3 linked regions of the Saccharomyces cerevisiae S288C genome follow. The gene in region 1 interacts genetically with each later gene. Each region holds a gene or a part of one and is shown on either strand. Other genes may lie near its edges.

Region 1 (4,933 bases):
TCTGTGAGAGACATAGAGACACTAGATGACGGTGTTGTTACAATGAAAAAAGATAAACACACGAAGGAATTGACGGATTATGAAGTTCAAGAAAGGATTATCACTTTGAGTGATTGGTATACCAATTGGAATTTGGACATTTTAAACGACAAGGTTTTGTCATCTACCGGGGGTACAGATCCCAAATTTGATGGATCATTAATAAATGGAAAATCATCTGACGGTGAAACTATCAAAATAGGATTTAACACCGAGTATCTTCTTTTGAGAATCGTAAACTCAGGAATGTCTGGTACTCAAGTCTTTCACCTTGATGGATTCCAATTAATTGTTCTAGAAGCCGACGGGATTATGATTAAACCGTTCATTGTACAAACGATAAATTTAGCGGTCGGACAAAGATATACAATTTTGGTCAAACTAAAGTCTGACACTAGTTTTATTCGTATGATTAATGGCTGTAACAAAATGATGGGTTATATAACAAAACAGTGGTGGTTTTACAAAGAAGGCGCTCATTTGGACCTACCAAAGAACCCCAATGACGTTTCCATCGAACACTTGCCTGGTTTCACTAAGGCCGAGCTTTATCGCGACATAGAACCAACGCAAGAAGAGAATAAAAAGTTACGCACAAAGGCTGATCCTGTTGCAGTTTTCGAATTCGATTATGCTTATTACAAAGATGAAAGCACGAAACAAAAGTATGGGACTGGGATGTATAAGGTGAACGAACGGACATTCAGCGAGTACGTAAAAGACCCGGTAAGGTTCGGATTCAACGAAACATATGATATTGTAATCAACTCACTGGACCACATGAGACACCCATGGCATATGCATGGCCATCACTTCCAGATAATATCTCTTGGCAATAAAGGTGATGGCCCATTTCACAAAGACGTACAAGAGGGCAAGGCATGGAGCCGCTATCAGAACGATTTACGTCACCTGGCCCGAACCGGAAAGGCACCGATGGTAAGGGATAGCATTAACATTGCAGGAAATTCTTACGCGGTTTTGAGAATTAACACCGAGATGCCCGGAAAATGGCTTTTACATTGTCATGTGGAGTGGCACATGATGAAGGGGCTTGGCATTGTCTTTGAGGTTCCGACAACAACCGAGGACAGTACCAAACAAGCAACTACAGCTGTATTATCGTACCCTACCAAGGAACCTGACCCTAACACTGTTGTCCATACAGCCGCACTTGAACAAAATAAGTCCAAGGTAATAGCCGTCTACATCCTAATCATGTGTGCGGTTGATGCTATCTTCTACTGGTTGCTCATGTAATCACATCCATTTCTCCCAACTCATTGCTTTTTTTCGCTTTTCCCACAGCCGTTTACAAGGCCGCAAAAAAGAAAACCCGCAAAGCTGACGGAAAAAGTATCGGCTAGCTTTCCATTGGCGACAATCGCCTCCGAGTGCGAAAACCTGTATTTCTCTGACTGCCGTAGGTCATATAGGATTGGGTCATAACGGTTTTTTGGAGACGAATCCTTCCCCTAATCGTGTTGGATAACATTACGGATCCGTGTTTTAGCTAAAGGAACAAAACAAAAATAAATAAAGGATAAGAAGAAGGATTCACTGATAATTAAGAGCTGTATTTTTCATTGGTTCGGCAGTTAGAAACAGAGATAGCATCAGTTCGAGTGTTCTTTGATATAGTAAACAGCGTATATAGAAAAGAATAAAGTGTATTGAAAGGCTCAAGAGAATTATAGAGAAAAAAACGAAGGATAAATCAAAAAAAGCGGTGTCTGATACAGTGCTCAATAGAAATACAGTTGCAAAATGGACCTCCCAACTGTTAATAGCACAACAAGCATTTCCGACAATGTGGATTTAAAGAACTACTATGAGGACTTGCTTTTCAAGAATAACAGCGGAAAATCGCTATCCGATTTACCCCGTAAACTGAATGATAACTCCAATAATTCAGGAAGTGATACGGTTGATCCGCTTGCTGGCCTGAATAATTTGAGAAACTCAATAAAAAGTGCGGGAAATGGTATGGAAAACAGGAGGACTTTTGACGATATTGATTTTATGGGTAGGTTTCCGTATTTGCCACCAGTGCCAAATCAACAACAGCAACCGTTTTCTCACCAGAACGGGTTCATTCAAGAACACCCTTCCAGTAATTTGACCTCTTTTCAAATGTCTTCGTCTAATTCAGAGCCGATGTCCGCACCGCCCATTTCATCCAATAACAATAATTTAAACTCTACTCAAATGGGTAATTATCAAGCTCAACAACGGTCGTTCCCGCAATTTAATGGAAATTCATTTCATTCAAATGGAAACGACCTAATGGGGAATCGGATGGATTCAGACTACATGCGTTTAATGAATAAAACAAACATAGGTTTTACTTCCAATAGCGGCAGCAATTTTGCTGCCCCATCACACAGTGCTGGCAACCCATCTAGTATGAACAACCAACAAGTACCATCATTTAATTGGCAACAGCCATCTCATCCAGAGTCTACCATTAGGAGATCCTCCTACATATCAGATACTCTAATCAACCATCAAATGCCTGACGCTCGGCAAAAGCAAACATCCCAAGTGCAGCAGCAACACGCTCAAGGTTTCAATCTTTTCAATAGCAGATTCAACTATGACAACTTGAACTCAACCCATTTGACCGCCAAAGGTGTGCCCGAGTTTGGAAATGGTGTACAACCTCCGTATCCTTATGATAACGAGCCTAATAATGCCAGTATCAGCAATAGTAATAACAACAACAACAGTCACAATATGGTTCCAATGCAACAGTTTCGCCGGAATACACAACCGGTAGCGAGCTTCAATCCATCCCTTCCTACTTTTCAACAACAACAGCAACAACCACAACAACCACAACAACCAAGAAACGTTAATGTACCTACTTCTTTCAATGGCGAACGTGTTGATGATGTTCAGCTTGTTCAACTTCAAAGAAGCAGTTCTGTCCCTTCTTCTACAAACTCACATAACCTTCAGAACGAGAACAGCAATGAAGGAAATGTATCTTTGGACAATGGTTTAGTTTTAATTCAGGGTAAACACTTGACTTCGTCCAAAACCTTACACGATTTATACAGCGACTGTGGCAGCGGCTATTTTGCTAGCTCTGCAGTTTTTGAATTCACAGATAATATTAAGAAAATGCTGAAGTTGCACGATTCTAATGAAAGTTACGACGCGAAGAACATGGGCTTAATCGATGAAGAAGGTAATACATACCAATCTTTATTAAATTTCTTGGACATTTTAAGAAGTTGCAACATGAATTACGTTAATGATCCAGAGTCGAATAATGGAATTGTTTCCAATAATGGAGGCAATAAAAATAGGAGGAAGGGCTCTTTCACAACAGAACTATCATGCAGGAATGCTAATAACTCCTTTTTACCTTATACACCATTGGTACTGGTTGCTTTGAAAAATGGGAAACTTGAACTACTATCTACTCCACAAGCTACCAATTTGTTGTTAAAGAGAGGTGACTTGGTTATTATTGATGGTGACCGTGGAAGGGATTTAGTATTGGTTGTTGAGCCCTCTGTCGATTTGAATTTAGCATTATTTATAAATTTTCTGAAAAAGAAAATTCACTTTGACTCTTTAATTACAAGTGAGTCACAGCACTATCGCAATGATGAGTTTATTCAAATGTTGATTGACTCAAAAAATGGGCAAAAGAAAAAATTAAATCCCAAATTGTATGATGTTGTTGAATTAACTGAGTTAATCATACCATCTAAACAAGTCTTACGTTTTGCCACCCCGTGGGAGGTAACAACGAATTTGCACAATAAATTTGAAGATGAATTAAAAGCCTTGCATATTGCTCAGAGTAAATTACAAGCGTTAAATGATAATTCAAAATCTCAAAATACAAATGACAGTTCTTCCAATAATTTTACGAATGCTGCAACTTATTCAAAGCCTAAATTGAATATCAAGATTTTAAACGCAGAATTCCAATTTGATAGAAAGAAATTAACGTTTTACTACGTTTGTGAGGAGAGAAATGATTTTAGAGACTTGATAAAAGAGCTGTTCAAATATTACAAGACAAGAATTTGGTTGTGTGCCATCCCGAATAATCTGTCTATTGATTCTAAGTATTATGATAAACAACAAAAAGAGCTGAAATTATATCAAAACATAGTAAAAAATTACAATGCTGAAGATTTAATGAATGTCAATGAGTTTTCGCAGAACAGGGGGAATAACAGAGTTAATTTTGCACCTCCGTTGAACGAAATTGAACTCGACAACTTTCAGATTGCTGTGTATGAAGAATTAGTTCACGAATTATTTCATTAAATGATCTGTTATTTCCTTGTTGTAACTATAAATTTTCTAAAAGAAAAGACAACCATTTGCCATTATTTTGTTAACATTTTTTCATTGTTTTTGTTTTTGTTTGTTTTTGTTTTTGTTTTTATTTTTGTCTACTTTTTTTATGTTATTTTGTTTTATCGTTTCTGTTCGTTGTTTACCTATTTTCCTGCCAATTCAATTTGGTACTATCTTTCTATTATCAATATTTTCTTTCCCTTATGTTTTTTTCTATATGAAAACTTCACAGGGAGAAATAGAAGAAAATGTTCATTATTCTGTTTAACTTTGATAAAAATTACTTATACGTCTCCCAATCATGGTTTCATGGTCACTGGTAAGGAAAAATTCGAAAAACTACGGGACTAAAAATTTTTTAAAGATTGTCCATATTCCTCGATCCACACTTTCAAGTTTGAGATTTATTGTTGGCAACTTTCTTACATTTTTGTTGTTTCAACTTCTATTTTATATTCTAACAGCCGCTTCCATTTATTTTTCATAGGCTTTATATAAAAAACAAAAAATAATGGAATCAACCAACCCTTATAAACTTATATGTAGTTTACATTTAATCAAGGTCTGT
Region 2 (7,734 bases), on another chromosome or scaffold:
AAGGTACGAAACCTCCATTTGATTGGTATCAAAAACTTGAACATCAATACTGGTGCGTCTTTGAGCAGTCGATTTATTGGCATTGATCAGGCGCTCTTCTAGGAAATTGCCACAACTTTCATAAATTGTGCCAGAGTTTTTAGCTTTGAAACCCGCATAATTCGGCAACTGTCCTTTTACGCCAAAGGTACGATAGTATTTTACCAAAGTATCAAATTGGATTGTCTTGTGGTAGAGGTCCGAAACCCTATAACGATTAGCATCTGATATTTGAAATGAACTACCTAGCCAACTGCGAACCAGAGAAGTTTTTCCAGAATGATCATCCCCCATTACAGTAATCTTCGAAGATTTCAAGTCGAAACATCTTGGGATTGACGCAAGGCTTGCGCCGTATGATAAGCGAACACTCATAGCGTTTGACCTAATACGGTATAATTAAAAGAAAAAAAGACAAAAAAATAGGATAGCCAACACAGAGCAGAACCTTAACAATTTCTCTAGATACAATTTACATGCTCAGCGTTTCTTTATATACATTCTCCCTGTATATATTCCTTTGAAAATTTCTTAGATTTTTTTGAAATTAAATAATAAGTAACGAGCCAAGATCGTTAAGGTAAGTACTTGAAAAGGATTTTTCAAAGAAGGCAAGCATAGACGATCTCTACGACATTTTTTTTTGCCCTTGATGTTCTTATGAAAAACAACTTCTACAAGTTGTACTTATCAGAAGTGCAAAAAAAAAAAATTGTTTAGACGACAAAAATAGCGTTTAATAATCAAGGTCATGGCTTTTAAACAAAGCGTTAATCTTAATCCCTATATCTCCTCTAAAATGGACGTAGCTTTTACAAAGGGATATTACGCTTGAGTATCCCTTTTGAAGATCGTTGCACCATTACGTATTAAAGCATTTTTTTTCCTCCGTCAAGATCTTACCCGAATACTGCTGCAGGACATACAAAGCGCACTGACATGACGCAGGAAGATTGATTAGAACCGTCCGCAAAATTTTCTTTGTTACAGCATTAGTAACGCATCACCTCCTTCTCAAGCTAGGGCACTTTTAACTCATAAAGCGACACATTGCCTTTTCAAATATTGTAGCTTTTCAAATCACGCAATGGAATATTTGCAGCATTCATTGTTCCGTCAAAAGTAAAATTTATTTTTAGTACTTCAACGTGGAAGGCAAACCTTGCCTTATACCTTTACATGGATGGTTTTATGCTATTGTGAAACGAAGTCAAAAGGCTAAACAAAAAGATAAAGGAGGGGCATATTATCGGACCACCTCGTATAGCAAGAAAGGGTACTTATCAAAAGAAAAGGTCGCTGAAAATCGAGCCCCTCTTGAGAATTTGATTTTCATACATATCCCTTTTCTCTTCCGGGTTAAAGCCTTTACATAAATGTGTCATTGTATAGCATTACTTTTTTTTTGGTGTGAAAAAAAAATCGGAAAAATATTCACAGGGTAATGCTGAGATAGCTTTTCTTACCCTCCTTGGAATTTGGAATATTTCGAGATTTCATCATTTAGCCCAAAAGGGTAATTGCGTAAACATTTGTAATTTCTTGGTGTATTTGTTTTGATTGTTCATTGTTTATGACCAGCTACTTTATTCATACTCTTCCACACTACTTTTTTTTTCTTGATTACATCTCGAATCCTGCGAACTTCGTGGTTAGAAGATCATAACAAAGTTAGACAGGACAACAACAGCAATAATGACCGGCGGGCAGTCTTGCAGTTCTAATATGATCGTCTGGATACCAGATGAGAAAGAAGTTTTCGTAAAAGGGGAGCTGATGAGTACCGATATCAACAAGAATAAATTTACAGGCCAAGAAGAACAAATAGGAATTGTCCACCCGTTGGATTCCACAGAGGTTTCTAATCTAGTGCAGGTACGAATATCCGATGTATTTCCAGTTAACCCATCGACTTTTGACAAAGTAGAGAATATGTCTGAGTTAACCCATTTGAATGAGCCGTCTGTGCTTTATAACCTAGAAAAGAGGTACGATTGTGATCTAATATACACCTATTCCGGCTTATTTTTAGTGGCGATTAACCCTTATCACAATTTGAATTTATATTCTGAAGACCATATAAACTTGTACCACAACAAGCATAACAGGTTATCAAAGAGCAGATTGGATGAAAACTCCCATGAAAAACTGCCGCCGCATATATTTGCAATTGCAGAAGAAGCCTATGAGAATCTTTTATCTGAAGGAAAAGATCAATCTATTTTAGTCACTGGTGAATCCGGTGCGGGCAAGACAGAAAATACGAAAAAGATTCTACAATATCTAGCATCTATAACTTCTGGCTCTCCTTCCAATATAGCTCCTGTTAGTGGTAGTTCTATTGTAGAAAGCTTCGAAATGAAAATTCTACAAAGTAACCCTATCTTAGAGTCTTTTGGTAATGCACAGACTGTACGAAATAACAACTCTTCAAGATTCGGTAAATTCATAAAGATAGAATTTAATGAACATGGTATGATCAATGGTGCGCATATCGAGTGGTACCTTTTAGAGAAATCAAGAATTGTTCATCAAAATTCGAAAGAAAGAAATTATCATATATTTTACCAACTATTATCCGGTTTAGACGATTCTGAGTTGAAAAATCTACGCCTTAAATCTAGGAACGTAAAAGATTACAAAATTTTATCCAATTCTAACCAGGATATTATACCAGGAATCAACGACGTAGAGAATTTTAAAGAACTGCTCTCGGCATTGAATATTATTGGGTTTTCAAAAGATCAAATAAGATGGATATTTCAAGTAGTGGCAATTATTTTATTAATCGGTAACATTGAGTTCGTATCAGACAGAGCAGAACAAGCATCTTTCAAAAATGATGTTAGCGCAATTTGTAGCAATTTAGGCGTGGACGAAAAAGATTTCCAAACTGCCATATTAAGGCCTAGATCAAAAGCCGGAAAAGAGTGGGTTTCACAGTCCAAAAACTCTCAACAAGCTAAGTTCATCTTGAATGCCTTATCAAGAAATCTTTATGAGCGGTTGTTCGGATATATTGTGGATATGATTAATAAAAACTTGGACCATGGGAGTGCAACTTTGAATTACATTGGATTGTTGGATATTGCTGGTTTTGAAATATTCGAAAATAATTCCTTTGAACAATTATGCATCAACTATACAAATGAAAAATTACAGCAGTTCTTTAATAACCATATGTTTGTTTTAGAACAGAGCGAATATTTAAAGGAAAACATTCAATGGGATTATATAGATTACGGAAAAGATTTGCAACTGACGATTGATTTGATCGAAAGCAAGGGGCCACCGACCGGTGTACTACCGTTGTTGGATGAGGAAGCCGTTTTGCCCAAATCCACTGATGAGTCATTCTACTCTAAACTGATCTCAACTTGGGACCAAAACTCTTCAAAGTTTAAACGTTCAAGATTAAAAAATGGGTTCATTTTGAAACACTATGCTGGGGATGTGGAATACACTGTGGAAGGCTGGTTATCCAAAAACAAAGATCCTTTAAACGATAATCTCTTGTCTTTGTTGTCTTCTTCACAAAACGATATCATTTCAAAACTGTTCCAGCCAGAGGGCGAAAAATCTTCTAGTGCTGGTGTGGAAGCCAACATCTCCAACCAAGAAGTTAAGAAATCAGCTAGGACAAGTACCTTCAAGACTACATCATCACGCCATAGAGAACAGCAGATAACATTACTAAATCAACTAGCTTCTACCCACCCACATTTTGTTCGTTGTATAATTCCAAACAACGTGAAAAAAGTGAAAACATTTAACAGAAGGTTAATCTTAGATCAATTACGTTGTAATGGTGTGCTAGAGGGTATTAGACTTGCCAGAGAAGGTTACCCAAATAGGATAGCATTCCAAGAATTTTTCCAGCGGTATAGGATCTTGTATCCTGAAAATTCAACCACCACGACTTTCAGTTCTAAATTAAAAGCCAGTACCAAACAAAACTGTGAGTTTCTTCTAACGTCTTTGCAACTGGATACAAAAGTTTATAAAATTGGTAATACTAAACTGTTTTTCAAAGCTGGAGTATTGGCAGATTTGGAAAAACAAAAAGATGTTAAGCTGAATAATATTATGATTAAACTAACAGCAACTATACGAGGTTACACAGTAAGAAAAGAAATAACGTACCATCTACAAAAATTAAAGAAAACAAGGGTGATTGGTAATACCTTCAGATTATACAATAGACTGGTGAAGGAAGATCCTTGGTTTAATTTATTTATCAGGATCAAGCCACTTTTAACATCATCCAATGACATGACCAGAACCAAAAAATTCAACGAGCAAATTAATAAACTGAAGAACGACCTTCAAGAAATGGAATCTAAGAAGAAGTTTTTGGAAGAAAAGAACCAAAAAACTGTCAATGAGTTGGAAAATACGCAGGACTTGCTAAATCAGGAGAAAGAGAATTTAAGAAAAAATGAGAGCTTATTAAATAGAGTTAAAACCAGCTCAGAAACATTACAAAAACAATTCGATGACCTTGTTTCTGAAAAGGATGAAATTAGCAGGGAAAAACTAGAAGTTGCGCAAAATCTTGAAGAAGCTCATCAAAAAATCCAAGGCCTTCAAGAAACTATTAGAGAACGGGAGGCGACCTTAGAGAAATTACACTCAAAAAATAACGAACTAATAAAGCAAATATCAGACTTGAACTGTGACATTTCTAAGGAACAGAGCTCCCAGTCTTTAATCAAAGAATCTAAATTGAAGCTAGAAAACGAAATAAAGAGATTAAAAGATGTCATAAACTCGAAGGAGGAAGAAATAAAATCGTTCAACGATAAGTTAAGTTCCTCAGAAGAAGATCTTGACATAAAATTGGTCACTTTAGAGAAAAATTGTAACATTGCGATGTCAAGACTACAATCCCTTGTAACAGAAAATTCAGATTTGCGTTCGAAAAATGAGAATTTCAAGAAAGAAAAGGCAGCACTGAATAACCAGTTGAAAAATAAGGAAAGTGAACTGTTAAAGATGAAAGAAAAAATAGATAATCACAAAAAAGAGCTTGCTACTTTTTCCAAGCAAAGAGATGACGCAGTTAGCGAACATGGTAAAATTACTGCTGAACTAAAAGAGACAAGAATCCAACTTACCGAGTATAAATCTAACTATCAAAAGATTAAAGAAGAATATTCCAACTTCCAAAGAGAAACGAAGGAACAGGAGCAAAAGAAAAGAAATAGCCTGGTTGAGTCTCTGAACGATAGTAAAATTAAAGAATTGGAAGCTCGGTTGTCACAGGAAATATCCTTAAATCAATACTTAAACAAAAGAATATCAGGAAATTCTGTAGAAACGAATATTTCGTCTACTAGACGTTCCACATCGTATTCAGATGATCCACTTGACAAAGAAGATATAATAAAAAAATACTATGACCTTCAATTAGCGTTTACTGAAATAACTAGGAATCTAGAGAATGAAATTGAAGAGAAGAAGAACTTAATTTCTAGATTGAGATTCACTGAAACAAGACTAGCATCTTCGTCTTTTGAGGACCAAAAGATTAAGGCACAAATGAAGAAATTAAAAAAATTGATCCAGGATATGGACCCTAGTATTCCTTTGGACAGTATTCTAAATGAGCCGCTAGATAACTGCCCTGACAAAGAGTCTGATATTAACAAATTAATGCTTGAGGTCGATTATTTAAAAAGACAATTGGATATCGAAACAAGAGCTCACTACGATGCAGAAAATGCCATATCTGCTTTACACAGTAAATTTAGAAAGATCCAAGGGGAAAGCTCCCTGTCATCTTCTGATATTTACAAACTGAAGTTCGAAGCCAGTGAAGAAAGAGTCAAATCCTTGGAAGACAAGCTAAAAACCATGCCTTTACGTGATCGAACAAATTTACCTGTCGGAGATATTATAAAGAACCGTGATAGCATTTCAAAATATGAAGAAGAAATTCGCTATTATAAACTTGAAAACTACAAGCTCCAAGAAATATTAAATGAATCAAATGGAAAATTGAGCCAACTCACTCTTGACTTGAGGCAATCAAAATCCAAAGAAGCCCTACTTAGTGAACAATTAGACAGATTACAGAAAGACCTTGAATCTACGGAACGCCAAAAAGAACTACTATCATCCACAATAAAACAGCAGAAACAGCAATTTGAAAACTGCATGGACGATCTGCAAGGGAATGAACTGCGGCTAAGAGAACATATTCATGCACTAAAACAAGCTGAAGAGGACGTAAAGAATATGGCGTCTATCATTGAAAAATTGAAAACTCAAAATAAGCAAAAGGAAAAGTTAATCTGGGAGCGCGAAATGGAAAGAAATGACTCAGATATGCAATTACAGGAAACTCTGCTGGAGTTGAAGAGAGTCCAAGATGTAAAGAAAATCCTGAGTGATGATTTGGCCCATTTAAAGGAGCGATTGAGCGCTGTAGAAGATAGATCCCAATATACGGATGAGATTAATAGATTAAAGGAAGAATTGAACTGCTCTTTAAAAGCTGAAACAAACTTAAAAAAAGAATTTGCAACCCTTAAGTACAAACTGGAAACTTCGACTAATGATTCTGAAGCAAAAATCTCCGATCTGCTGAAGCAGCTCGATCATTATACAAAAGTGGTGGAAATGTTGAACAACGAAAAAGATGCTATTTCTCTTGCAGAAAAAGAACTTTATCAGAAATACGAGGCACTCAATACTGAATGCGAGTCTCTTAAAGGAAAGATAGTGTCTTTGACTAAAATCAAGCAGGAACTGGAATCTGACTTAAATCAAAAGACTGATGCGCTACAGATATCAAACGCAGCACTCTCAAGTTCCACACAAAAGAATAAAGAGATTACTGAAAAAATCAAATATCTGGAGGAAACACTACAACTGCAAATGGAACAAAATTCAAGGAATGGGGAGTTGGTTAAGACATTACAGGCCAGCTGCAATGGATATAAAGATAAGTTTGATGATGAGAAGCAGAAGAATATTGATTTATATGAAGAAAATCAAACTTTACAAAAGCTCAACACCGACTTACAGCTTCAACTAAAAAATTTGCATGAAAGATTATCAGACACTACTGAAAAAAACGCATGGTTATCAAAGATTCATGAATTGGAAAATATGGTAAGCCTAGAAACGGACTTGAAATATGAAGAAATGAAAAAGAACAAGAGTTTGGAGAGAGCAGTGGAAGAGTTACAAACTAAGAACTCCCAACAAACAGATGTAATAGAACTAGCGAATAAAAATAGAAGCGAATTTGAGGAAGCTACTTTGAAATATGAGGCTCAAATCTCTGACTTAGAAAAGTACATTTCTCAACAAGAGCTTGAGATGAAAAAATCCATTAGAGATAATTCTTCTTACCGCGACAAAGTGCAGGAAATGGCCCAAGAAATTGAATTCTGGAAAAGCCGTTATGAATCTACCATGATAGGCTCGAAAAATATTGATAGTAACAATGCACAGAGTAAAATTTTCAGTTAACGAACTTTTTTTTAAAAATTTGGAAGACTTTATATCCTTTATTTAAAAAAATAATGATGAGATGTTTTGTATATACAGAATGAGAATATGCATTATTAACAGAAAAAGACGACACGAGCGTTATATACTAAGTGGCATGAACTCTTTCACCCCGTATCCTTCGATAGTAGTCTTAAAGGTGGTACATAAAATAAAGAAAATAACCGATTCAAT
Region 3 (3,839 bases), 1.3 Mb from region 1:
CTTTAATTGGGGCGACTTTTGGCTTACTTATGCTGTTGTTGCTAGAGTTTGTCGCAACTATATTGGTAACGTCGCTAAGTGCGACCCTCGGGTGCGCAGATGAAATATGACTGAGGGATCCAGTCCTGTGTTTAAGATTACCTATAGGTGCCACATTTTCATCCTCGGGGCTCCTGATGTGTCCAGAGCTCAAAGACTGTGAGTTATGATGCATTTATAATAAGCAATGATAAAAAGGACAAAATATCTCTATGTTTTAAAGCGAAGGACAGAAACAATAAATAGCTTTTTCTCTGCAATTTTCTTTTCTTTTCTTCTAAGCAAGCAGCTAAAAATTTCTGATCGTTTTCTTTCGACCGGATCAAAAATGTTTTTATGTGTCCATGTTCTTGCATTTCAATATTTTTGTTTTCTTTTGTTTTGTTTTGTTCCTTCGCTTGTCGCCTCGTTCTGCTGAAAAGCGGGAGAGAAAAAAGGCAGTGCGGGTAACTGAGATGTTTTCATTCTTCCTGCTTTATGGTTCCGGAGTCATCAGTAAAGAGGAATATTTTGCCGCTAGAATTACCACCTGCAATCCAGTTTCGCAGCGGGTGCCAACTAATTACAGCTGGGACAGTAGCTGTGGGTAGGTGAGCCAGTTGCTGGCCTTCGCTGTTGTATATGTCGATGGCGCGCTTCATGTTAGCTATTGCAAAAACATTCTTGTTCGGCTTGAACCTGGCCTTGAGGATGCTTGTCCATCTTCCTGTTTGGCAATTGTGCTGAATCGTTAGTTTGGGCTCCAACTTCGCAGAAAGGTGATCCCTACTCTTGACATCGAATAAGCGGATGGTATCGTCATAGCCATTGCACACTAAGGTGCCATCTGTCGGTGAGTAAGAAACTGCAGAGACGCTCAATCTTGAGTCATATGTGGAGACAATTTCATGACTGGGATAGTCTTCATATTGTGACCACTCTGGCTTTTTAACAAGGTTTCTTGTATCCCAGATTTTGAGTGTTCTATCAAGTGATCCGGTGGCAATCTCGTAGGGTCTCATGGGATTTATTGCCATAGACCCGATCTTCTTGTCTGCGAGTCTTCGCAGATTATACTCTGATTTTTTTACTCTTGTGTCAAACGTGGTGAATTCACCACCTAATGTGGTGAGGAATAAAACATTTGGGTTTTCGTAGCTAAACTGGCAATCGCTGATACCCAGTGAATCGTCATATTCATTTTTCAAGGTGAGAACCTCTTCACTCTGTAAGTTATTCAAGTGAACTGACCTGATGCTTCCGTCGTAAGAGGTGAGCAATATCTTCGATGTGTCCGCAGGGAAGCAATCAATACGGCCGACGTTTTTGGTAAATAGTTTCACTCTGGTGATATCGGGTTCTTCCATTCGGTCCTCTTCGCTGTCAGCTAGTGGTTCATCTCTAACGTTCCAAAAACCCACAGTACCGCTTGTATCACCTGCAATTATTAGCTTTTTTTCCATAGCAGGATGGAAGTAAGTGGCAGAGATTCTTTCGTATGTAATCTTAATTTCGTTCGGTTGAAAAACGTCATATAGATCCAAATCAAATTCGTCCATCCCCGTAACGTCACCCTGTCTCTTTTTTATTTCTTCAAAGAAATCACCAGAAGAAAAGTTTCCGTTATTAAACCTCTTGAATTTCTCTAAAAGGGCACTTTCGTCTTCATCCTTGATCAGATCACTTAATTTCACATCTCCTATTACAGGTTTCTCCTTTATTGCGTCTATAAAATTCTTATCCTGGCCATCTGGAGAACCCATTTTAAGCAACTGATTATCGTTCACATTGGGTATTCCTTTCACATCGTCTGCAGACTCACCCCTTAGCCTTCTTGATCTTCGTGTAGGTAAAGTGGGACTCGCAGACTTGGTTGCTCTGGTATTAGTTGTTTTTTGTTTCTTTTTTGCAGGAGCTCTAGATTTTTCCAACACCCCAGCCTCGTGCTTAATTTGAGATGCTACTCCAGACAAATGGAGTTTTTTCAATAAATCGTTATTCCTTTTGATGTTCTCTAAACGTTTTTTCTGAAATTCTGTTAATTCCGGCATTCTTGACTGAAAAGCAGCTTTCTTTTAATTGCCGTACTAAAATAGATCGCCTATTGTGTACTATTGACGACAAATGCAAGATTAAAGGGTTTTTATCTTCTCTTTAACAATTGTTCAAATATACATTTACCTCTTTTGGCGTTATTATAATTGTAACATGTCAGAAATTGAACATTAACAAAAAACGCGTAATATGGGGTCCTCGGGTGAAAAATTAACGATGGGCTTTTGAAAAAAGGTACGAGCATATAAAGCGAGTACAGTCATTGTGTGCCACCAAGTAGGAAACAAAACACCGCTTAGAGAGAAACAGCAAGTGGTGAAAAACAATGAGTAATATTTTGGCAGTGTTCAACCCTCCACCACAAAGGGAGCTGGAAAAAGAAGAGACTATGGATTGCGTTCCTTGTCAAGTCATGAGCACTATGTTTTCTGTTGGATTTGGCTCATACTTGGCATCTGGGAAACCATTCAAGTATGGTAAAAAAGAAGCCAAAAGAGGCATTTCTCTGACTGAATTTGAAAAAAGAAACCCACAATGGTGGAAAGTAACTTTACGTAGCTTCGGTGGGTTATTAATCGCCTTCGGTTTCGTTAGAGGAACCGAAGGTTGGTTGTGGCATAAAAATAAAGAATATAAGAACTATAAGAAATTAAGTAACGATGGTGAAACACAGGCTAACTAGTATTATTCGCAAGCTTCTCTCAATCGTGAAATTTTCTGTACATAAAGTGCTACTTTGATGATTATTTTTAAAAATATTGTTACATTAGAAAATTGGTTTGTGATTTACATAATCAGGAGAGTCTATATATATATGAATATAGCTTTGAGAAAGGGATGTGAAAAAAAGTGCAATATGTTCCTAACTAATGTTATCGCATGCATTCAATGGGTTGATCTTTCCGATTGTTTCTTTTCTAACTTGGCACGGTCCAAGGCTTCTCTTTTAATTCTCTTGTCTTCCTTTATTTTAGATTTTATTTTTCTACACCAATGTCTAAATTTATCATCTTTAGACGGTGATACGTATTTCATTATAAGATCATGATGTAGCAATTCATGAATCGATGACCTTTCCCTTTCATTCTTAATACAACACCTATTGACAAAATCTGTCATTTCCTTGGAATAGATACGGTCTTTGGGTAATCTTGGTGAAGGCTCGTTGACAATACGTTGCAGCAAATCCAATATGCCATCAGGTGTATCGTTATGCCCACCTAGGGGAAACTCTCCAGTTACCAGCTCGATGATCATTAAGCCCAATGACCAAACGTCCCCTTTGATAGAATAAACGTTTCCTTGTATCCTCTCTGGTGACATATAAGTGGACGTTCCAACAAATGTATCAGCGATAGAATTTATTAGTTTTTTGGAAACTCCAAAATCACATAACTTAATCTGCCCCTTACTATTAATCAGAACATTGGAAGGCTTGATATCACGATGAATGATCTTATATTGTCGGTACAAATGATCCAAGCCATTTAGTACGCCATACGCTATTTTTGATATTGTTAATTCGTTGAACCAGGTTTTCTTACTCGAAACAGTCCCTCTTTGAACAAACCTTTTATAAACGGACAGTATTTTATCTAAAGAACCACAATCAGAGTATTCCATTAAAATTATGATTTCATTATTTATATGCTGGTTATAATAAGCTCCATAGAAGGTGATAATGTTTTCATGGGGCTTAACGTTTTTGACGATAGATAATTCCCTAACTAATTGGTTGATGATTGTACTGTTATTCTGTTCCACAG

What was found. A genetic interaction does not mean that the proteins touch.
Region 2: of PSP1 (region 1) and MYO1, extra expression of one rescues a mutant of the other (dosage rescue), as found in Saccharomyces cerevisiae (one study listed by BioGRID).
Region 3: mutations in PSP1 (region 1) and CMR1 impair growth when combined (synthetic growth defect), as found in Saccharomyces cerevisiae (2 studies listed by BioGRID, with this or other methods).

Annotation. Positions count from the first base shown.
Region 1 is NC_001136.10:1,456,094-1,461,026, reverse strand, and holds PSP1 (Psp1p), read left to right. Parts: upstream 1-1,806; coding exon 1,807-4,332; downstream 4,333-4,933. Other genes in the region: GMC1 (putative oxidoreductase), read left to right, coding at 1-1,299; SPG3 (Spg3p), read left to right, coding at 4,333-4,716. UniProt on the Saccharomyces cerevisiae protein: DNA polymerase alpha mutation suppressor.
Region 2 is NC_001140.6:149,932-157,665, forward strand, and holds MYO1 (myosin 1), read left to right. Parts: upstream 1-1,734; coding exon 1,735-7,521; downstream 7,522-7,734. Other genes in the region: YHR022C (uncharacterized protein), read right to left, coding at 1-414; YHR022C-A (uncharacterized protein), read right to left, coding at 1,286-1,375. UniProt on the Saccharomyces cerevisiae protein: Required for cell division.
Region 3 is NC_001136.10:173,148-176,986, reverse strand, and holds CMR1 (Cmr1p), read right to left. Parts: upstream 2,070-3,839; coding exon 501-2,069; downstream 1-500. Other genes in the region: B-type cyclin CLB3, read right to left, coding at 1-214; DMO2 (Dmo2p), read left to right, coding at 2,399-2,755; mitogen-activated protein kinase kinase STE7, read right to left, coding at 2,959-3,839. UniProt on the Saccharomyces cerevisiae protein: DNA-binding protein that binds to both single- and double-stranded DNA. Binds preferentially to UV-damaged DNA in vitro. May be involved in DNA-metabolic processes.